Linked DNA regions of Caenorhabditis elegans. The protein of the gene in region 1 interacts with the protein of each later gene in a biochemical or structural test. Each region holds a gene or a part of one and is shown on either strand. Other genes may lie near its edges.

Region 1 (13,647 bases):
TACCTAGTAGTACTACCTATTTCTTACTGTACGGAGTTATGTACATTCAACGAAGGAACCTGTGAATGGGATATCAGACCTCCGTGGAATGTTGTCTCGTTGGCAATTCTTCCACGTCATCAGCATCCTGGACTACTAAATATTTCAAAGACACCCGATGTTATCACTTCTGGTGAGAAATTAAATGTATTTTCTAATGTCTTCTAGACTACATCTCGTGTATAGCATGTTCACTATTAAATCGAAATGACTAAATACATTGGCCGATCGGAGAACCTGAAATTTAGCTTCAATGGTTAATTTATTATTTGCACAAAGATTCACAACAATCATCTACTATCTCAAAACAGGTTTTATACGGTAGATCGCAATGTGCTCATCACCACGATTTCTTGCCGCGATTTTACTATAGTCACATAGATTCAAGCAGTCTAGTAGACCCTCACGGATGATGTCACATGTTAAAAAAGTTACCGACATTTTTAAAGATCATGTTCTACGGAATGTACCACGTCGGCCGTTTTTCTCATTGAGACTACGGTAGAATCGCGATTTATTCGAATCGTGGCGAGATATCAGTTACAGTTATCTGTACTTTTACAATTTTCTTTTCAGTTTTAGTTATAGTTTTTCTAAACATGTACTCGAATTGGGGCAAAAGTACTAAATATATATATTTGAAAATCTACAATTTTGTACAATCATCAATGTTTTAGGTCAATCTTTTGGCAAAATGCCGAAATTTGGAATCTTAAATATCCGCTTCTGTACTCGTAATTTTCGTGTAGTAACAATGAAAACATTGAGAAAGTAATTTAGTATACTGAAACCATTTACTTCAAGTTTTGAAAAATCTAGGAAGGTCACCAAGTGTGTCCTTTGAAACTTGCGCACTCTAACATAAATGGGGAATTTTAAAGTCGCTCGTTTTTCAGAAGGACCATTCCTACTTGCACAAGGAAAGTTCGCATCAGTGCCCTCGTCAAGAGTTACTTCTCAGAAAATCTCAAAATCAGATCATATGAGAATACTTGCATATCGGTATCAACGTCGTGGAATGGCGACTTTGAGGGTATTTTCCCATTTTAGTTTGAAATTTATGAAAACTCTTACTTATAATTTCAGATTCTTTTAAAAAACCAAACAGACGAGATCTTACTTGATACCATATCCTCAAATGAGATAGAAAGAATCAAATGGCATCGTCGAAGTGTCATTTTTCCTCCAATTCCAGATTATAATCAAACAAGTGTTATATTTGAATGTGATAATATTCAAACTGCTGAAGATATCATTGCTGTCGATGAAATTGACGTGGCAACACCTGCAAATGTTATGTGGGCGGGACAAGATTCCAAGTTTTTTGATGAAGAAGATATACGAAGAAGAGAAATTCGGAGAAGTTCAAGTAAGTTGATATTGTAGACAATATTCGGATCCCTAAAACGTTTTTTTCGTTCTTTCCTTGTTTTTTACTAATGCGAATAATATTCTACAAAAATCCCAAGGACCATCTCTATAACTTTTAAAAATTCAGAATTATCAAATGTATGTACTCCAATCTCTTGTCATTTTCGTTCTTCAATTTGTTCCTGGCAATCAACGAATATTCAACTTCTTCCATCTAAAATTGTGAATGAAGCAGCTGGTGAATCAACTTTGACATCTTCTCCAGTTCGTTTACCAATTGATGCACCATCTTTCATTCAATTACAAATGTTTAATAGTCAAGGATCTGTGACTTCTTTATCATTTCGAAATATTGGTTCAATGAATGAAAAAGTGATATGGACTGAAAAAGAGGATTCATCAATTCCCGATTCAACTGGAACTCAAAATGGATGGAATCGAGTTTTAATTTCATTGGAATCAGTTCCAAAAGGAATTCCAGTAATTCTAATTCTTAAATCTATAACTGGTGCAAACGATTTTGTGGCTTTCTCCTCAATTGATCTCGTCGATGGAGAATCAAAGACTTTAACGTGTGGTAATTTATTTTATACTTTTAGTGGTGCATTTCTGTAGGCATTCCAGGGGCGTTTTCCTGTGGTTGAGCAGAGGCCGAGGAAAGTTGTTCACCCTCATTTTTTCTATAATATGAAGTTACAAAGGTTCAAATAAATTTGTACCGGATCAATTAAAGATAGAGTATCGTCAGTGGGGAAGTTGCTTATTCTAGGATAAAAATTGAAAGTTACAGTACCCCAAAGTACTTTTTTAGAAATTTTTCAACTGTCTAGGTTTGGAACCTACTATAATGCTCGAAGTAATTCATAAAATCTACATTTTTGGTTAAATTTGGCAAGTTACCGAATCAATGACAGAAAATTTGGAAACATCTAAAACGTCTTTGGAGTGTTTCATTATTATATTTGGTTATTTTGGAAGTGTATTTATAGAAAATCACCAATGACGATATTCTACTTTTGAACTGGTGGAGACGATTTGGAAAAATTAAGTTGTGCGCCAGAAGTTAAACAAATAAATACTGTTGAGTTTCTCATAAATTTTAGATAATTTTAGATCAAGTGACGTCACCAGTCCAACCACAATCCAATCAATTGGTTCGCCTGACGGCTCTTCAGAATCTAAAAATGTTACCGGTAAATTATAAGAAATTTCGTTTAGCCAAGAAAATAATCTGAAACAAATATTTTTTTCAGATTGAATCAATTCTTTATCAACCACCAATATCAACAACTTCACCAATTTCATTGTTTCCTATTCCTCCGACTCCTTCAATTTCATTTAATTCAGATGAAAAACCATCATCTCTAGCTTCTCCTGTTGGAATACTTCCTATATCTCCAACTCTTGTTTCGGCTCGTGGAATCCCAATTTTCCCAATCACCTCTTTTTCGAACCCTTTGATTCCGCTTAGCAATGCAAGACTGCCCTTCCATTTTTAATTATTACTTCTAACTAGGTTTTCTGTATAAAAATGATAAAGTCAATTTAATATTGAAACAGTTCACTGTGAACAAAATATAATAACAATAAAATAAAAGATATGAATTATGGATAAAAAATATTTGAAAATCGGGATTTGGGGGGAACATCGAATACTCGTAAACTGGGGAGTGAGAAAACGGAAATTAACCAAATTAGAGTTCACAATCATGATACAATAAATTTAGAGATTGAAAAAATGTTTAGAGGTGGAAAGAGACGAAAGAAATAACCCTAAAACTTCCTGAAAGTGGATGGGTGGGACTTGAAATATGTTTGGAGATATAAGTGTAACAACAAGGGAATACAAAATTCACATAAACAACAAAAAGTATGAAGGGATTTTAGTAAGACCAAAGTCTATTGTCTCCACCTGATCCCATTTGATTGCGAAGACGATCGCGAGCCGTCGGAAGGGATACTTGTGGTGATCCAGCAATTGGCGTTGAACGAAAAACTGGTTCGCGAAGACTCACTGGAATTAATTTATAAAAACTCTGGGCTGATAGAGAAATTAACGCACCATTTGTGCTACTCAAAGAGCTCGCCATCGATGTTTGATGTGTCGTGTTATTGAGAGTATTATCACCAAATGAGCCAGTTTTATCGAATACATTCATCTTAACATAAATTCCGATAACTAGAATGATGATTCCGACAAGACAAGTCCACAGCAACGTTGGAATAGCGTGAGAGTACTTATGTGCAAGAATCAGAAGAACATCTACTACCCCACGACTTTCAAGTGCTGAAACGATTAGGAATTTTATTGAATCCTGTAGTTGAAACTTACCGTTGTATACTTGTTTAGCAGTCTCATCCAACAACTGAACAGTGACAGGAACACGAATCACTTGACCAGTCAACGTGTTCTCAACAGAAATTTGGCATTTCTTTGCATGTTCAGTGAACAGAGCTGCTGATTTGATGTTGAGACGGATGTTATAGAACACATTTGCCTTTGCAGAATGTTTATCACTTGATCTTGAGGTTTTCTCGACCGATACAATATCTCCTTCACATCCAGAAACGACTATGTGCTTCGAGTCGTATGTAGGCGCCCAGATGGAGAGAGCTGCTTCGATTTGATTCATATTTGAGAATACGAGCTGGAAAAAGTAAAATATTAAAAAAAAACTTCGTGTAACTGACCTCCTTCTCCTCGACAATAAATGCGAAATGGAATGGAACATCAATTGTAGCATCATTTACTTGTACTGTACCATCTGAAATCCATTTCGCAGTAATTCTAGCATCAAATTGATCTTTCAATAGTTCCTCGGGAACAACAATTGATGAAGTTGAGACACTCGAATCAAATCGACGAATTTCACACCCATAACCAAAAACTGGGCTGAAAACTGCTGAAACCGTCAGCCAATTGACAGCCGAAATGATCTTCGAACGACGAGTGAAAGCAACTTGACATTCAAATGGAGCACCAATCGCATCAAATGATCGAATTTGATCAGCAGTGCACTCTGAAACAACAAAGATGAGGATGAAATGTGAAACAACAGCAAATCTCACCTCCATAAATTGACGAAACTTTGCTTCCTGAAGTATTATTGGTTGCAGCAATGACAGGAATTACGAATACCGAATGCTCATCATTGCTCACAAACTCTGGTTTCTGACCATCAGGGAAACGAAGAGAAGATGGCAATACAACGGAGATCTTCGAATGAATTGTTTGTTTATCAGCATGAAGTCTGATAAAAGTATTTCCAGCCTTTGTGAGTTGTGCAACTCCGAGATTCTCATCGAGCCAACTGATTCTTCCTTCACTTGAACTTTGAGACGACCAGCGAGATCCGTCTACAGTGAAAATGTTTGATTGAAGACAAATCACATCAGATACAACAAGATCGTTTGCATACTTGTGAGCAGCTCGAGGAAGGATTGATTCAGACGCAGAAAGACGAATAAATGTAGCAATGTGGGTATTTGAAGCATCACCAATTCTGAGAACAGTATCTCCAGCGGTTTTCAGTGTGATTGTCAGTGTCTGATTGCTGTTGGTGGCGACAATATCGGTCAAGTCGAATCTATAAGAATACCGTGAATATCTTGGATCTTAAAAAAACAATTTTCAAAGATCGGAATTTTCCTTACCTATGTGGTCTGAAATTGATACTGTTGGAGGCAGCCGCAAGACGACGACCTCGAGCATCACGTGGAACAACGTTTAGCTGGATTTGGGCTCCAACAGGAAGATGTATGAGTGGAGAATTCTCAAAAGCACTTTTAAGTTCAATTGTTGGGTGAACATCGAGAGAAGCGACACGAGAAACCTGAAAAAAGGGAAAAGTGAATCTACAAAAATATAGCGTTTCTTACAGTCACAGGAATGAGAACAGTTTCATTATCCGGGCTGTTCACATTACGAACGGTAATTGCAGCTGATCCTTCTTTTCCGTTTGTTATCAAATGACCGTCCGCAGAAATGACGATCCGGCTCGAGAAATCAGAAGGAACTGAGAAAGATGCTTGAGACCTGTAAATAATAAAGTTGAATTAATGAAATTAGAGTTGTTTAAAAGGAGAACAATCTGCAAAAATATTCACTTACCATGCAGTGACCATCTTCAATTGAGAATTTGGCGCCACTCTGACAGTATTAATATCCATTTCTGGTTGAACTAATGAAAGTCCATCTTCCACTGTAATTGTTGTTTCAGCGGTGAAAGTAGAGGTTCTTCCAGTGAAATGCTTTCTTGCCTTCTCATTAAGCTCAACAACCGCTTTCACTGTAACCGATCCTCCTCGAATAGCATTGAACCAAATGGCAAATTGATTATCAGTTGGTTCGACTACATCTCCACCGAGGGGATGAGTTGTGAATAGAACAGATGGATCAGAAACGCTCCATGTTACTTTGAACGGGTAAATGGCTCCACCAAAAGCAAATGGTTCTTCGTCTTCAGCTCCGGCGATCACTCCTGAAGAATAAAAAATAATTAATTTTTTTGAAAGAAAAGTGTCACATACCTCTTAATCGTAAGTTTACTCTTCCACCAGTTTCCACTTTCCTGCTTGACGCTGACAGAATAATTCCACCGAGAGAGGCAACACGAAGAACAACAGTATCCAAGGTAACATGACCATCACCAACACGAACAGTTCCGGTAATTGCTGTATATCCAAGTTCTGACGACGTAATAAGTGCATTAGGCTCAATGGATGCAATCATTGAATTATTCAAGGAAAAATCGAGTGGTGGCGTCGGTTGAGGACCTCCAACGACTTCTAACTGAAATTTGGAGTCCGGAATCAAAGTCAATCTTTTTGGTTGCAAGAAAATAGGAGAGAAAATCTGAACGGTGTGTGGTCTAGATGAGAGTACACGTCCTGATGAAGATTTTGATGATGCGGACAGCGATACAGTTCCAATTGAGTTGGCACGAAGAGTGTAGCGAAGTCCGTCAACTTTGGTCAAAATTACATGATTGTTACTTGCATCGAGTTGAGCGTCAGCAAGTGGACGATGTTCTTTTTCGAATGAAGCTCCAGTTTCGTCTTGAGCCAGAATCTCTACTTCAACTTCTTGTCCAATTTCCACAAACTGCGGTGCGTCAATCGCCAATGAATGAATATCAGCAATTCTTACGGAAGCATCGGCATGTTGCCCAACCAAACAAGCATCAGAAATACGAAGATTCACTTGTCCATTATTCTTCGGCGTAACTGTGAGACTTCTTGCACGGAGAGCAATTGCAACTGGTGAATCTGATGTTGGCAGATTATCGACATGGAAATGGCCAGATCCACCAGTTATAGTGAACGTTCCTTTTGAGACAGCTTCATTCCAAAGAACGAGACGTGCTGGTTCGACGTTCAATCCTTTTTTCACTGTGATTTCATATTTAGTGGAGAGAGATCCAGCTTGAGCTTGAATAGTAACTTGGCCTTCTTTCTATAAATATATTTATGTGAAAAAAAACTTAGTTTTCAGAATCAACTCACCTTTCCAGAAGTCGCATCTGCCTCAATTCCATGACGATTAACCGTCAAAAGACCAGAATCAGAAGTAGTCCATTTCGGTGAAAGCCCGTTGATTGAGGCCAACGGAGTTGCAGCTCCATTACAAACTCCTGATCCACGGAGAACGAGTTCTACATTTGTATTGATAAGCATTGAATGAACATTCAATGGGCACTTGGATGGACGTTGTTTCTTGTCAAAAATTTCAAGACGAGTTGGCTTTGCGCAACAAATCGAAACTGTAATTTCAGAGTGAATTGGAAGTGGAAGCGTTGACGATTTGAGGTTTCCAATACGAAGACGAACAGCTTCTGTTACTTCTGAAGATCCACACTTGAACAAAACTTTTTCGTTTTCAAATGTGACTTGAAGTTGCGATTGCTTTGTTTCTTGTGTTTTGTAAAAGTTTGCTGGATCCAAAATCCACGGTCTTGGTCCACCAGACACAGTCAATGGGTGAGTACTTCCGAGTGCAATTGATGAAGATTCTTCGGAAATAGACAATTTCTCGTAGACTGCTACATCGATGCTCGCTTTGTGGCCCAAATAACTGATGGACACTCGGGCATCTCCTGATGACAGTCCTTTGAAAGTTATTGTTCCACAACCAGTGCCCATCATTGGAAGCGACGAATCAGCTGAAGACTCGTGCCGAAGCAACGCATTATCCGTAATTTGAACATGAGCACGGATATTTCGACAATCGGACATTTCAACTAAAAGTCCATCAGATGTGAGTCCGGTTGCCTTGATATTTAATGTAAGAGTATCTCCGACGAATGTCTCACGGACAGTTTCTCCAAATCCGATTCCAGACACTTCGAGAATATGAACACTGGCAATGTCACGAAGCTGATCATTTCTCTTATCAGTTGCTTTCACTTTAGTGCTTCCTAATGAATTCGCAGTCATTCTTCCAGTTAGCAGATCCACCGTTGCCACGTGTCCATCTTCAGAAGTCCACTCAAACAATCCACTGCCTCCAGTTGCTGTTAGATCAATTTGTGATCTTTTCTCAGATACGAATGGCAAATAGATAACCGGTGGAACAATTCTCACAGGATCAACGATAGTTACTCGCTGCTCTCCGCCAATTTTGCCACTTTGTGCAATTCGATTTCCCTTGGCATCAATAATAGCAACAAATTTGGTTCGAAGAGTAGTTTTTGAGGGTTTCAGTGGAGTCACAAGGAACCAGGTACCATTCTCAGACTTGAAATCCACATGAAGAAATTGCTCATCGATATGAGTGTCGAAACGGGAATTCTGAAAAGTTGTAAAATTTAAAAATTGACAGCTGTTTTTTGTTCAATTTTTCAGAGCTTAACTTACATCAGCAACAAACATAACATTTCCGTGCTCATCAAGAAGTTCAACGTTGATTGTATACTGTTTTCCGGTTTCTAGCATCCAATTATCTCCTGAAACATGCCATTGGACAGATTCGGCGTCTACCACATGAATGACAGTAGATGGTGGACGTAATCCAGCTTTAGCGCGCACATCGACATCTGAAAAATTCTTTTTGAACGAGAAACATCCATTTATGCAACTCACGGCTGCTCAAGAGATGTACTGCAGTGTTTCCAATCGTCAGAGCTCTCACAGATGAACTTTTTTTATCGAGCGACGCCACATCACCACCATCAATTTGAAGTTCGTATGACGGATTAGGCATGTTCACTATTTCTGTTCCACGCTGCTTGACAATTAAAACTTGGAATGGAAGAACTGAGTGAACTGGCAAGTAAACATCTTGAGATGGAACCAAAAGTAAATTTGCGACGACGGCGAGTTCGACGTTGTGCGCTGCTACTTTCTGAAAAAAAAAACATCCTAGGTAAATGTAGTTTTGCAGATTGCTCACCTGCAAATAAGCATCACTGAACTTGGTTGTCAATGTGGCTGTTCCTGTTCCAACACCTTCAATCAGAATTAGATATCCTTTCTTTCGATTCTTTTCCAGTTTAACAATTTCAGAAGGAGCTTCATATGTTGATTGCTCGAATGGAACAATTCGTAGTGGTTTCGCTTTATTTGAAGATGTTGATGCAAGCTCCCATTCCAATGCAATTTCACTGAGAGTAGAGAATCGATCGCCATCGGCGTTAAATGCGTCAACAGTCATTCGAGCAGGGGCAGCGTCCACGAATAGAACTTTCGTTGTTGTTTCGATGCTAATAGTTGCGATCTCATCTACTGTCACGCCGCAACTCAATGTTGTGCCGGATCCTTAATAAAAATTTTAAAACCAACATTTCACAAAAATTATACCTTTATCTTCTGCAAAAATAACAGCAGACAATTCCGAACTTCCAACAGTTCCAGGCTTCGCAACCGATCGAATTTCAGCTTTATCCGAACATCCAGCTTCGTTAGTTTCGATACGTTTAACAGAGACAATATCGGGACGAGTAGATCTCCTGCAATTAAATATATTAAAAAATAATTAGATCATTTCATTGAGTTACCATGTAAAACAACCTCCGGTTGGATGCGTTACTTCCAGCACAAATGAAACTGGGACCGTTGGATGGTACGGTAATAAAACTCGAGGAACATTTAGCCGGTATGATATTGTGATTTGCACTAAAGCCAAAACGAGCAGTGATCGAAGTATAATCATTGATCTATTCGGCTCTCCTACCTACAAAAAAATTAATGAAAATTTCTCTTATGGAAAAGGAAAACAGGTGGAGATGAGAGAAATTTATGTATTTAATATAAAAGTTAAAGTTAATTAACTATAGTGATCATGCATTAAATAAATAGTAGAATAAAAAATAAATTTAGCGATAACTCAGATCGGATTGAAGAAAAAAGAAACTGAAATTCTGCGAAAAAATTCAAAATTATTTCGTTGTACGCAAACACGGCGCGGTTCTTCACGACAATGAACCAATTTGGTGACCGTAGTTCATAATTCTAGATTCGGAATCTGAAGAAAAAGCGTAATTGGGGAAAAAACATGAAAAAACATGAAATTAATACCGTGAAATAAAATGCGCTTTTTTCCTTCTCGATCAAAGATATATTCATATTACCTCAAAAAAAATTTTACCTAACAAATTTGCTCGTAGATCTCTTTGTTATGGTTTTTTCCTGATATTTTCATTTCGACACATATTGCGACAACACGTGTTTTCATCAGCAGAAATTATTTGACAGTTATTTATTTTAAGTTACTTTATGATATTTTCAATAAAACGTGCTCAGAAAGTGCACAATGAGACGTTTCTTCTCGAGTTTCTATGTCTCCAAGACCCGGTTTACGAAAACCCGTGTTGTCTCGAATTATTGCAAGCGCGCTCCACTGCACTTCCATTTTTGCGCGAAGAAATGTTTTTGCAGTTTTCCTTGAATTTTTGTGGGGTTTTCAGAAAAACACTTTTAAAGGCACAATTTTGTATTTTACGTTAAGATTTTCCTAACACGTTCTTTTTTCCAATATTTTCAAGCCAGAACTGTTTTATTTCACGACAATTATTGCAGGATGGCATCGTTTCGTAAGAATCACGTCATTATTGATTCCTCAGACTCGTCGGAAGACGAGGATCGCAAGGTTTGTTCGAGTTTAACATTTGAATTTTGCTTTAAAATTATTGAATTTCAGGAAAGACACAGCTCCTCATCTGAAGTCGATGAAACAGCTTCAATGAGATCAACTGATAGCTCCGAGCCGCCCAGGACAATTATTGATGCCTCTCTGAATTCCATGGCTTCAACCGTGTACACATCAACTCCAAACTCCAAGCAGAGCATCTCCAGAACCGGTTCCTCCACCACCTACGGGAGCTCTAAATGCTCCACAGACGATCACTATCGTTCGAGAAGCTTCATTGACAACAGCTTCGAAAAACCAGTGACCCCGATCACCAAGAAGCTACAGGAATCCGATGAGCCCCGCGCAAAGCAGCAGCTCCGTGAGCGGCTCCTCAGAAAATCCATCAAACAGCAATCGGATCAAGATCTGACAGGTGGCTCATCGCGAAGTGGATGGGGAACTGGTGAAAATAGCAGTCTTGAAAGCAGTGATCTCATAAATTCGCATTTTTCGCCAATTGCGAAGACGTTCCGGCATGCTTCCGATTTGGATGATTCAATGGTAAGAATGGGGAAACATTGACCTAAAGCTGGCTCAAAATTCAAAATTTCCTTTTACTTTTTTCCGATATTTATCCAAAATTTCACATTTTACTTGCCAGAAATTATCTAGAAAACGATTTTTCAAGCGAGAAAATCACTTTTTGCAAGTTTTCAAGCCAACGTCTGACGTGTTTAACCAATTTTCGCCCAACGGAATCGGCTAGTGCTTCGGTATGTGACATAGTAAATTGATATTATTATCTATATCCTCTTTTTCGATATTTTCACAAAATTTCAGCTTTATTGTCAAAAAATATATAAATTTACAGAATACCTCTCCGCCGCCAAACCGTTCAACTCTTCCCTCGGTTGAAACAAGTTCTGGAAATTCTCCACAAACACCGTATCCAGGTTCTCCTGAAGCTTCTCCTCAACCGTCTCCTCCAAAAAATACTGCTTCAGAGCTCCAAAAGTTGAGCATAAAAGAGCTGGAAGCAAACAAAGATAAAAAGTTGAAACTTTTGAAGTTTTCATCGAATTTGCCGGACAATGGAGCACGTGTGAAGCTACAAGTTGATGAAATTACTGAAGAAATTGAACGAAGAATTATCAATGGAGTGACGGATACCATGGTGGTAGACAAAACCACGGCTATTCCCCCGCCACCACAGCCAAAAAACTTGATTGCTCCAATTCCACAGGATTTCGCGGCGATGTTGGACAAGAATGGGCGAAAAGTGATGAGCGGGCGGATGACAGAGCAGAAAATTCTCAAAGTCAATAAGATTTCCGATCGATTGATGCAACAGCTCGCCGAGTTCGTAAAAATTTTAGTTTCTTAGAAAATTGAGTCTCAGTTGACGGCTTCGTTCTATTTTACGAAAAAAAAAGAGTATTTGTGGATTCTGAGGGAACCAAAAGTTCTTTAAACTTTAATAAGCCACGCTCACAAAAATTGGCGTGGCTTGGAAACAGATATTTTAAAACAAATTTTTTTGATTCTTACAGTTTTTTTGAAAACAGTTCCCAAAAGCTGTGTGGATGCCATGCTGAAAAACTTGACCATAGAAATTTTAATGATAGAAAATACCATATTTTGGCCGAATATAACTAAAAATACAACTTTTCTTGTTTTCAAAAAACATTTTCGGTTTTTCTGCGTTGTTTTTGTGTTTCAATTAGCTATTCGAATAAGAAATTTTAATTACAAAACGAAAACCGGAAAACCAATCAGTCGAAAAACGGCCAAGTCAGACATTTTTTAGATTTTTATTTGAAATTGTAGAAATATATTTAATTCAATTTTAACAGTCATCATTTGAAACAAAAACCCAACATAGTGCTTCTCCTTCAAATTATAATCTAACAATTAATATAATTTCCGTAAGAAAATGGTCTTCTCTAAAATTATCTCTTCTTTTTTCAGCGCAACTCACACAATCCCAGCTGAAACAGACCTCACGGACACACCCGACGGGCTCCTCGTCGAGCTAATGCCTCACCAAAAAGCAGGGCTTCGCTGGCTTGTCTGGCGTGAGGGTCAACCACATTCGGGTGGGATCCTCGCAGACGATATGGGTCTTGGCAAGACTTTATCAATGTTATCATTGATTGTGCATCAGAAGGCAGCGAGAAGAGCACGGAAAGAGTCTGGAGATAATGCCGCGGATAAGGAGAAGAGAAGAGTGGCAAAAGAAGAAGGATTGTATCCATCAAATGGCACATTAATCATTGCACCAGCTTCACTTATTCACCAATGGGAAGCTGAAATCAATCGAAGACTCGAATCAGATTTGCTTTCCGTTTTTATGTTCCATGGAACAAAGAAACAGAGACAAATTGAGCCAAAGGAGCTTGCAAGATATGATGTCGTCATCACCACGTACACATTGGCAGCCAATGAGCTTATGGAGAAAAAGGCGGCTGGATCCAAGAAAGAGGAAGATTCCGACGATGAATCAGGTACGAATTTTAAATCTGAATTCAAGCTGAATTTTGATCACAATCCGATTTCCCTGGAAAATGAGTTATTTGTTCCAAAAAAACTATTTTCTTTTCAAAAAAAGTGGGAGTTTTCGGGAAAAATATCTATTTCAAGGAAATGTATTATTTCTTTTAAAAAAAGAACTTTCTGGAAAGTATAATTTCATTCCAATTCAATAATCGATTGCTTACAAAAACGATTTTGCTTTTGTGAAAACTCAGCATATGTTTTTTCTAAAAACTCTATAATTTGAAATGCCAATGTTTTTAAATAAATCAGAAATTTGAACCCATTTTCCGCGATTTCATTAATTTTTTCCAGAGAACGAAGAAAATCCCCGTCGCCCTGCTGGCAAAAACGACTCCCCTCTTGCTCGTGTCGCTTGGTCCCGTGTGATTCTCGACGAGGCTCATGCCATCAAAAATCGTCTCTCCCAATGTTCAAAAGCAGTGTGCCGGCTCTCATCATTCTCGCGTTGGTGTCTCTCGGGTACTCCGATTCACAATAACCTATGGGATTTGTACAGTCTCGTGAGGTTTTTGCGTATCCCGTTGTTCGGCGATCGGAAGTTCTGGGCCGAATCAATTATGCCAATGAAGACTGGAATGGCGGATCGTGTGAATTTGCTGACGAAAAATTTGATG
Region 2 (10,914 bases), on another chromosome or scaffold:
ATTGGCACATTTCATGACATCTTCAAGCAATTTGAATAGCTTCTCATAGTCTGGACGATGATAGAACAGAGTGGAACGAACAGTTTTCACAAAGCTCAGCATTTGAACGGGGCTCTTTGCGAAGAGAACCTCGTCGTGGATTTTTCGCTTCATTTCACCGATTTCCACCTGCAAATCATGGAATTTAACAAAAGATTTTGTATTTTCTAACCTTATCATCAACATCATGCCATGCCAATCGACATCTCATCTCCGCCAAAATGTACACCAAAGCCCACAAGTCATCAACTCTTCCTTGCTCATAACGGTCATGCATCGCCACTGAGCAATAACGGGCGGTTCCACGGAAATATGTTTTCTCACGTGGACGACGCATCTTCAATCCATCGTCTTCGTCGGCAATGTATTGACGGGCCAATCCGAAATCAAGCACGAGAAAATATCTCTCGTCAGCTGAGCCCTTCTGTAAAAAACTTCATTGATGGTTATACATTTCTAGACTCACACAACCCATTGCCACGTTGGCAGGCTTCAAATCCCGATGAAGATATCCAATCTAAATGTTAAAATTTGTTTGATATCATTCAACTTCACCTACGTCATGAACCTGTTTGATTCCGAAAAGGATACAAATACCAATTCTAACTTGAGTGGAAACATTCAGAAAAGGTCCGTGCTTTCTGAAACTCAATTATTTCAATAATTTTTCACTTTTAGACAGCCTACTTAAGAAGTGAATCGAGACTCTCTCCAAGAAGGGTCATAACCATATATGAGTACCTCTCCTTCTTCCCACTAGCCACACATTTTGCAACGTGCTTTTTCGAAATGAGCTGGGAGAGAATCTGAATAACAACGACCTGAGACCCTTAACTATAAGCTAAATCTTACCTGGACTTCCATTTTGAGAATGTTACCAGCATCTTGAGACTTGAACTCAACTTTCAGTGCATAGTGTTGACCCTTCTCCGATGTGTCTTCAACTTTGAAGACCGAGCCACAACCACCTTCACCTAGTTTTTGAACGACCTTAAGTACTCTTATAGATCAACTAAATTTTGACATTTTGATTAATGCCAGTTGGCAGGACCAACTCACTTACTAAACCACCATAATCTACGCGCAAATTCCCGCAACTCACCTTGTATCTTTTCCCGACAACCGCTCCAATTTCTAGCGTCTCTTCACCAACGTCTCCCGGCATTTTGCGCTTGAATTGAAAATACTACTTGATACTACAAAACAGATCAAGTGAATTTTGAAAAATGAATCAAATAGCCAAAAATGTGGACACTTTGTACGTGTGGATTTAATTGAAAGTATAAATTTTGGAATGAAAAGTTCAACACGTCGGTCACAAGGACTTTTTATTGTTAAAGTTTTGGTAAATTGCCAAAATTTTCAAAAATGTTCGAGCCTTTAAAATGTTGAAATACAAAAAATTGGAACGCAATTAAAATATTTTTTTTTTTTGCCCGACTTCCAAATGTTATGACAGGAGAACAATGAGTTTTCACCACTTTATGGCTGAAAATAAAAACATTTCAATAATTTTTTTAATAGTTTACTATGCCATTCGGAAATTTTAGCACTATGAAACTGTGAGGTGCCAGTAGTATAAACTTCCAGTAATTTTGGTTGTCAGAAAGCAAAAAGTTAACTTGCCTGCCTTCGTGCCTACCTTAAATGTTTTAAAGCGTCATTCTTTGAAATTTAAAAAATGGTTCATTTTTTGAACTCACGAACTCTAGACTTTTCCTCTATTAAAAATGTTCCCATATTCCTTATAAACGTGCATTTTTTCATCTCTCTTCCGCCTCTCAAACTCTTTCAATTGGCTTCACTTGTTGTCGGGCGGTCTCTTCAAGCTACTCATTGAGCCATTTATACCTTCATCTGTCTGGACTTTCTCTTCTCTGTTTCATTATTTTCTAAATTTCATTTCCTTCTTTCTCTTTTCTGTTAGAGTTCCTTTTTCCTGCTGCATAATTAGTAGGTTGTCCCACTTCAATTTTCGATATCTCGTGACTCGCCGCGGCGCCGAGGCTTTACGTTTTCAATTTGAATATAAATATTCATTTTTGACTCACAGCTAATATATAATTTGATAGAGATTCATTTTTCAAAATACCACATAATTTTAGTTTTTAACCCAATCTTTCAGATTACCTAGATGTAAATATTTACAACAACTTTCAATAGTTGACGTAACACCCTTCACAGACATGTTTATTTGGATAGTTCTTCCATTGTTTCATCGTTTTTTCTATTCAAATTAATCAAAATCCAATATCCTAAACCCTTCGCCTTTTTTCTTAATCGCCGACCCACTGGTGAACAAACATTCAGATTCATCTCTTTTTGGCACATTTCAGAAAATGTTGCAACCCAATTTTCGTCGGTTTGAACCTTCTTACAGCTGGAAGTCTCGGGAAAAATCTACTGAAAATCGGGTTAGTTAAAAACTTTAATTAATTTAACTTTTTTTAATGGTAGATTTGCTATTCAAGAAAATTTACTTTTTTAAGGGATTTCTATCACGGATGTGTGGAATTAAACAGGTATAGTTTGACTCGATCTTTGCAATAAACTAGAAATTTTTTCATTTAGAAAATGAATAAATACAACTGTCGTGGGAAATATCAAGAGACCAATGACCAGAATTTAATGCAAGATTCAGGATATTCACTGAAAATTATAAGCTCTGGTGATGAACAGGTTTTTAAATTGAAAATAATCACATTCCTCATAATATTTTAATTAAATCATAAATTTTTAGATTACAATTGTATATACAAGTCGACTAGGAAAAATGAAAGATCTCCAAGTTCCGGAGATTGAAATTTCAGGAGTTCTTTTGGAAAGATTGGAAGCTTGTAATTATAGGCTTGACGAGCTTTTTATAGACTTGGTAGTTAAAAAATTAATCTGAATTCCGCGTATTTTGATATTTCAGAAAGCAAGCAAATGTATTTGTAGTTCGAATGAGCTTTTGAACATTCCAAAAATCATCGTTAGAAGGCTTTTTCTAAAAATGGAATCTCTGGAAATGTTGGAGTGGTGGATTGAAAGAGTTGATCCGAACTCTCTAAATGAGCTGTGTATTGCTCCTCATGGAGAATATCCACTTGATATTCCGTCCAAGATATTTGATCTTCCACATGTAAGTATGTTTATTTTTGAATATTTTTGGTACAATACATTTTCAGTTCCAAAATTGCAAAACACTGAGTATTATGGAGCACTGTTCTTTCTCAACCGACCAATTTCTAGCATTGTGTATTGCAATTCCAAATTTTTCTTTTTATTCGGACAGAATTGATGAAAATATAGTTGCTCATGCGATAAAGGTATTGAAAATCATCATGGAATGAAGAATTGTTATTTTTCAGAAACGTCTCAGCTTAAATGATCAATTTGTTGTCCTAGAATGGTTTTTCACTAAACACGTGAATGTTGAAAAAGTCACAGGAGATTTGAAGTGTACGAATTATGATAGAAAGTGAGCAGAAAACTGATGTTAGGCAAACTAGAATTAATTTCAGAGAGCGCTTTGATGTCAAAACTGAGTGCTTCGAGCCAGTTGATGTATACAGTGTTCCAGATGAGAATAACAAGAAAACGTCCTTGCTGGTTTTGAAAGATTCAACTGACAATTTCAAACCGTATAACATTGTTGCGTTTTCATAATTTTATGTTTTGAGATGCCGTCTTGGAAATATAGTGTTTTTGAAGCTAAATATCCTATCTCATGTATTAAATAAAATTGTTATAGTATCTCTTTCCATCCATTTTAATCGTCAAAGAAAGGCGTGTAAACCACGAAAACTTACCACTAATCCAAAAAGAGAAGCTGCCTTCTCTCCAAATGACGGTAAGACGTGGAAGACACGTGGTAAAAATGTATTACGTACGCCATAAAATATACGTATTAATCCATTTAAAATTAATTTTTCTTTTATTAACATCTGGCATCGTTTAACACACGTGCAAATGTTCTGTTACAAGCCCAAAAAGGTTCGTTGCTAATTTTTAAAACATTAATGTACAAAATTATTGCAGAAAGTACATTGAATAATAAATTTTTCAATTTTTAAAACCGTTTTTTAAATCAATGTCTCCGTGATATTTATGTTTGACCAGAAAATGTTTGATCGATGACAGCGCGCTGTTTTGTTTAGCACCCTTTTTCATCGGCGCGTAAATCGACACACGGTTCGCTGCGAGACCTGCGCCCGCCAAGCATCAACATTCGAATTTGCCGTCCGCCATTTTCGTCCTAAAATGACTTTTACCGATTCTTTTTCAAGTTTCCAGCTCGCCTCTTGTCATTTTTAGAAATAAAAACGTTTATTCAATTATTAATACTGAATATTTTAATTTTTGTGTTGCATTTCAGATGAATCGACTTCCCAACATTGCAAAACCCCCACAAAAGTCCAACCAAAGAAAGGAGAAGGCTCCACCAGAGGTTCCCGCTCTCATCGCCGACAAGGATCGTGGGACCTATTATGAGAAAGGACGATTTTTGGGCAAGGGAGGATTCGCTCACTGTTATGAGCTTACGAATCGAGCAACACGCGAGGTTGTCGCTGGAAAAGTGGTTCCGAAGTCGATGCTCGTCAAGCAATACCAGAGAGATAAGGTAGACAATGAACGAATCTTAGTTCAGTGCATATTACGATTTTTCAGATGACACAAGAGGTGCAGATTCATCGAGAGCTTGGACACATCAATATCGTGAAGTTATTCAACTTCTTCGAGGACAATCTCAACGTGTATATCACTTTGGAGTTATGTGCAAGACGGTCGCTGATGGAGTTGCACAAAAGAAGAAAGGCGGTCACCGAACCTGAAGCTCGTTATTTCACTCATCAAATTGTGGATGGCGTGCTGTATTTGCATGATCTGAACATCATTCATCGTGATATGAAGCTTGGAAATCTTTTCCTCAATGATGATCTAGTTGTCAAAATTGGAGATTTCGGATTAGCAACAACGGTCAACGGTGATGAGAGAAAGAAAACGTTGTGTGGAACGCCAAACTACATAGCTCCGGAGGTTTTGAACAAAGCTGGACACTCATTTGAAGTTGACATTTGGGCAGTTGGATGCATTCTGTACATTCTTCTTTTCGGACAACCACCATTCGAGTCTAAATCGCTTGAAGAGACATACTCACGCATTCGCCACAACAACTACACCATTCCGTCGATCGCAACACAACCAGCAGCAAGCCTAATCCGCAAGATGCTTGATCCTGAGCCAACACGTCGTCCGACTGCCAAGCAGGTAATTTCAATAGTTTTGAACTGGAGTGAAAATCATTTTAGTATTATCGGAGATTCGAGTTTCATCATTAGAAAATTTGTACTTTTGAATTTTATCGTGAACTTTTATTGAGAGATAGTTCACGTTCAGTTTGATTGCCCTTCGTTCTAATTAGTAAAGAGATCGAAAACAATTTTTAAAAAATCAGTTCGAATATTTAAATAAGTTATGAAATCTCTTCAACTCGGAATGAAAACCCTACAGGTTCAACGCGATGGCTTCTTCAAGTCAGGATTCATGCCGACTAGACTTCCAGTCTCCTGCCTCACTATGGTGCCAAAGTTCGGAGGACACGAAACTTCGATGATGGAGGAAAATGTTGCTCCAAGAGGGGTTGATGCTCGTTCACAACGCCCATTGAACGGAAGAGCTGGATTGTCTGCCCTCCCACAACACATCGTGTCGAACAATGCCGATCGTGAGCGTGCTCAACAACAAGCTGCAGAGGCGACTTTCCGGGAGCCCGAGGATGCATACCTTTCACAACTTTTCCACCAAGTTGCTGTGCTCTTAGAGCAGCGTATTCCAGGGGTAAGAATAAACAAGAGGTTTTTTTTAAATTAAAAGTTTGTTACAGCTGGAAGAAGAAGAAGCTGCTCTTGATGGTTATCAATCACCAGAGTGCCTCCCGGTTTTCTGGATTTCGAAATGGGTTGACTATTCGGACAAGTATGGCATCGGATATCAACTATGTGACAATTCCGTCGGAGTTCTCTTCAATGACAATTCTCGTATCATGCTTGATCAAGCTGGAAACGAGTTGACCTATATTGAGAAGAGCAACAAAGAGCACTACTTCTCGATGCACTCAGGTGAAATGCCTGGATTGCTCAACAAGAAAGTCACATTGCTTAAGTATTTTCGATCCTACATGAATGACCATTTGGTGAAAGCTGGAGAAGGATCTGAACAAAGAGCTGGTGATGACTTGGCTCGTTTACCAACGCTTCGAGTTTGGTTCAGAACCAAATCAGCAATTGTTTTGCACCTTTCCAATGGAACTGTTCAGATAAATTTCTTCAATGTAAGCAAATTCATAATTTAATGGAAACACCCAACAATATAATTTTCAGGATCATGTCAAGATGATGATGTGCCCATTAATGCAAGCAGTTACATTCATCGATCAAAACAAGCGTATGCTCACCTACAAGCTGAACAATCTTCAGCGCAATGGATGTCCAGAGGTTTGAATCGCCATTTCAGTATCAACAAATATAACGTATAATTTACAGAAATTCCTTCACCGACTGAAGTATGCGAAGACAATGATCGAAAGGTTGATGAGCGATGCTAACGTTGTATCCCAGAATCCAGCTCGTCAACCGGATATGCCACGGTCAATGGCAGCTGCTCGTTCAGCTTCGGCAGGATCACGAGGACCAAATCAAGCTGCATCGCACCTTCCCCAGTCGGCAAGTGGATCCAATATTCACCCACGTCGATAGATCCGTATGTGCTCTTTGCCACTTCCATGAATTTGCTTACATCTCCTGATTAATTCCAAGAAGTATTATTCTATACATTTAACCCGTACTCTTCATTTATTGTTGCTGTTTTTCATCGACCCTTTTAGTCCCATGTTTCAGCATCCAACATGTCTTTATTCCCCGTCCTCGATCTCCCGTAGCTCATTTCATTGTAAATACTGATGAGACCCGCTGTAGCCCTTTTTCATTCGTTTGTATTCATGGGCGAGGCGATTTTTATTTTGCGTTTTTATTTCTTTTTGCTAATTGAATCATCTTTTTTTGGTATTAGTCCCACGAAATAAAACGTACCGATGATTATTAAACTGTATTCTTCATTTTTCCAAACTTTCTCGACAATTTCATTTTTGGTAGATAGCAGCACATTGGGAAAAATCAAGTTGAGCTGCTCATCTGCCTCAACTTTCCATTTCAGAATTTTCGAAAAAGCGTGTATAATATTTACTGATTCCGAGACAATTATTTGAACATGATTGTTACAAAGATCACGGTCGCAAAGTAACAAATGTTCTGTTTAATTACTTGCCACTCTGAACAGTTTCCGTCACTTATTTTATATCCAAACAGGTTCGATTCCAAATAGTCTCAAATTATGCCAATGGGATCTGCTTTACTGTAACAGTTGGACATAAACTGTTATATGAAATCAAAAATACAATAGTTTAAATTGTTTTTGCTCTCTGCTTGAATTTTGGATTTCTAGAGATCTAGAGCAGAGCTGAGCAGCCGGCCAAAAAAATCGGCGATCGCCGATGAAATTTTTTTTTCGGCGATCGCCGATCACAAATTGCCAAAAAAAAATCGGCGATCGCCAATTGCCGATTGCCGATCAGTGTGCGTCTAATTTTTTTCAATTTTAAAATCCTAATTTTAAGAGCTCTTTCAAATAATTTTTTATAAAAACAGGAATATTAGGCAACGAAAAGCACTCCTTGATACCTTAAAATTCGAAAAGTAGTGAAAAATAGTCCGAAAATATACCTTCTTCCTTCTTCAGAGGGGTCTATCTTGGACTATAAAATTTCATCGGCAATCGCCGATCGCCGACCCGTTTTTCCCTTTCGGCGATCGGCGATCGCCGATTGCCGCTCACCCCTGATCTAGAGACCATCGATAGCGCATCATCGTCAGACCTGCCTCTTCACCTATGCGTAGGTAGACCTACGACCACCGTTTGATCAACCACAGATGCGTCTCGTCCACAGTAACTCGTTACTTTGTTATATTCTTTTTGATATAATATTTTCCCGTTTCCTCTCGCCCTTGTTTTGTTGGACCCAATGTCTATTTGTTTTGTTGGTCCCATCCCCTATAAAAGGCTTTCTTGGATGTTTTTCCCACGTTCTTATCTTTTTATCCCTGTTCCCTAAGCCCTTTCCCCTTGTCGTTGTTTCTTGTTGTTCCCCTCATAAATTAATTACTTATATAAGACAACTTTTACTAAGCAAACGCAAAGTTTAAAGATTTTTGCGCCAAAAATACAGTACCCGGTCTTGACACGACATTTTTGTTAAATACAAACGGAAGTGCGCCTTTAAAGAGTACTGTAATTTCTAGCCTTAGTTGCTGTGGGATTTTCTTCGATTCTTCGTGGTTTCTCTCACGATTTTTGTTTAAAAAAATCTAAATATGCGTTTTCAGTTGTTTTATTTTAGTTTTGTAATATATAAAATTTTTTAAATGAGAAAGAAAAAAAAAAAAATTTTTAAATGAGAAAATCGACGAAATTCCGCCGTAACATTCTACTGGTTGCATATGTAATCCTGAATAAAAAGTCAAACATTGAAAAAAAAAACAAGAAATAGGATTGAGAAGGATCTTGTCGATTCCTTTACAATCAGGTGTATAGTTTGATTCTCTCGATTTTCCACTAACATCTACAGTTTGAACTTTATCTTCAAATTCGAGGGGTTTCGGAATGAGGGAACTGAGGGGAACCGGTCTAATTGAGAGATTTCAGAGAATGTTGCATTTCATGTTGAATGACGCTTCTTCTTCTTCCCCTTTTTGAATGAATAACAACTGTTGTCCAAGAAAACGCCGACGGACGACGCAATTGATGGATCGAAGGAGGGTGAATCCGTGTCGCCGCGGAAGACGGTTTGCCATTAGAATTGTCTCCTCTTTTTCTCTCCTCATCATTTTCCATGCATCACCCCCAGCTTTTCGCAACAACGTCTATGTTACCCGTTTCAGATATGACAAGACATAGAGAAAGAGAGAGGAGGGTAAGGTTCTACAGACAGAAATAATTAGAAAACGTTTCACTGAGTCATTAGAAAAGTATACCCGTAATCATTGTTTTGTCACGTCATGACAGTAATATGTGTAATTCGAAGTTTCGTTTTGTTCCTCATCCAAGTTCAATAAAGCAATTTCACAGACAAACTGTAATTTCCATACTGCGTGATTTCAAAGTTTGATATCCAATTTTTACGACTTTGTGAAACTCGTACTTAACGGCGCACGGATTCATTTGGATGGGTCTCGCCACGAAGAAAAGGTTATGGTACCAATTTCTGAGTTTCGCATCGAAACTAGAGATTTCGTGGCGAGACCTATCTGAATATTTATCTGTGCGACTATTACTTAAAGAGTGACTTTAAAGTAGATCTCGGTGAAAAATAACTCTATTTTATTTTACGAGAAAAGCCGAGTTATTTTCTAATTGACAACTCCTATTTTTGGTTGTATTTTGCCAATCAAAAGTTTTAAAGAAACTGCAGGCTACCCAAGCTGATCTGTTATAAATCTTACGCTTGAACTAAACTCTACAAACTCTTCAAAAGCAATGCTCGTTCTCACACTACTCCCTTCCCTCTATGTCTCTCGCTCCTTGGCATGTATTTTTCATGTAGGCCTTTACCAGCACGTTGAGTCGCCGCTTCCGTAGCGCAGTAGGCAGCGCGTCAGTCTCATAATCTGAAGGTCGTGAGTTCGAGCCTCACCGGGAGCAAGTGCTTTTTTGCCCAATCGGAATATGCTATGTTATCTAGATGAGTTTTTGGTTTCACTTTTTCTTGCTTCTCCAATTTTAAGCTAAACCGAGACCGAACACCGAATGTGTAACTCTTTTGACTATTTTATAAGTGAAGCTGGTATCATTTCGATGCATCAGTTTGCAAGTACATACCCATTGCTATGTACATAATAAGATTTACTGGTTACTGACTTGACAGTCATGTCTTCTTTTTGTCGTCGCTTTCTTCTAAGCGCGAATAACAACTCCCTTTGTGTCTACATGTTTGTTTTATTAAATTAATACGAATTTTATTATTGGAAGAAAACTACTCCCCACATAATTTTTACATCTAATAAAATTTTAAAATAATCTTTAACTACCCAATAAAACACCAACAGAAATTTTATTACGACAGTTTTCTTCCAGACTTGTCTTAATTTAGACTAACAAAAAGTTTTCAGAGTTTTGTTTTGAAGTCCGATAACTTTTAGTTACTTTGAGAATAGATTCTTCAATCTTTGCTCATATATTTCAGAAATAATACCCTGATGGTAACCAAGTGATCACATTGACCGGACACTACGATTTCGAAACAAAGCATGATAAGCAGCTAGCTTTCTTGTCTTCTTGTATAACCTGATATATTCATTTCTCGAATCATTCTTCTCTTTTTTCTTCTATTGTTAACCTTTTGTCTACGTCTCATCATCTCTACATATTTTCATTGTTCTCTATTGGATCTCTTTCTAAAAAGTGTCCAAAAAAACTGACTTGGCGGTCACTTTTTGGCGCAAGTACCTGTTTGGTCTCAGTTGTTGTGAAAGTACTTTACAAAATCATTTCAAAATTAAAATTGATCTTCACTTATGCGAGTTTACCTTAAAACTTTTGGAATCATTTCTAAATACACTAGAAAATTTGTTGTGAACATGCAAAAAACCATGAAAAAGGAGGAGTCTATTTGGACGTTTACCTAACTATAAGTTCCGTCATTTTTTATTTTCTTATCAGTGCTCGTTGCTTTTAAGAACTTATATAAAGGTAATACCGTTGAAAAACATCTGCACAATCTTCTCGATTATGTAATTTTCTAAAAAATAAACACCGTTCATATCTTGGTCTTTTCATGTT

Evidence for each region.
Region 2: the proteins of npp-12 (region 1) and plk-1 interact in a test that uses a peptide from one of them, tested with the Caenorhabditis elegans proteins (one study listed by BioGRID).

The regions. Positions count from the first base shown.
Region 1 is NC_003279.8:6,443,244-6,456,890, reverse strand, and holds npp-12 (BIG2 domain-containing protein), read right to left. Parts: upstream 9,588-13,647; 5' UTR 9,560-9,587; coding exon 9,405-9,559; intron 9,357-9,404; coding exon 9,208-9,356; intron 9,166-9,207; coding exon 8,801-9,165; intron 8,753-8,800; coding exon 8,491-8,752; intron 8,445-8,490; coding exon 8,266-8,444; intron 8,200-8,265; coding exon 6,916-8,199; intron 6,866-6,915; coding exon 5,941-6,865; intron 5,892-5,940; coding exon 5,522-5,891; intron 5,447-5,521; coding exon 5,290-5,446; intron 5,244-5,289; coding exon 5,065-5,243; intron 4,998-5,064; coding exon 4,480-4,997; intron 4,431-4,479; coding exon 4,102-4,430; intron 4,059-4,101; coding exon 3,743-4,058; intron 3,698-3,742; coding exon 3,473-3,697; intron 3,425-3,472; coding exon 3,294-3,424; 3' UTR 2,937-3,293; downstream 1-2,936. Other genes in the region: mam-8 (MAM domain-containing protein), read left to right, coding at 1-172, 936-1,072, 1,126-1,408, 1,538-1,987, 2,524-2,603, 2,664-2,909; T23H2.3 (Transcription termination factor 2), read left to right, coding at 10,427-10,495, 10,547-11,038, 11,349-11,836, 12,446-12,981, 13,325-13,647.
Region 2 is NC_003281.10:8,096,949-8,107,862, forward strand, and holds plk-1 (Serine/threonine-protein kinase plk-1), read left to right. Parts: upstream 1-4,399; coding exon 4,400-4,645; intron 4,646-4,692; coding exon 4,693-5,292; intron 5,293-5,535; coding exon 5,536-5,862; intron 5,863-5,908; coding exon 5,909-6,355; intron 6,356-6,404; coding exon 6,405-6,518; intron 6,519-6,566; coding exon 6,567-6,779; 3' UTR 6,780-7,121; downstream 7,122-10,914. Other genes in the region: K06H7.8 (Putative serine/threonine-protein kinase K06H7.1), read right to left, coding at 1-168, 212-463, 506-556, 599-680, 727-845, 892-1,029, 1,142-1,204; K06H7.1 (uncharacterized protein), read left to right, coding at 2,379-2,453, 2,529-2,561, 2,611-2,718, 2,780-2,911, 2,957-3,163, 3,210-3,350, 3,393-3,502, 3,546-3,690. UniProt on the Caenorhabditis elegans protein: Required for oocyte nuclear envelope breakdown before entry of oocyte into spermatheca. In meiotic cells, required for spindle dynamics and probably for spindle attachment to the chromosomes. Zygotic role in the development of the germline and nerve cord.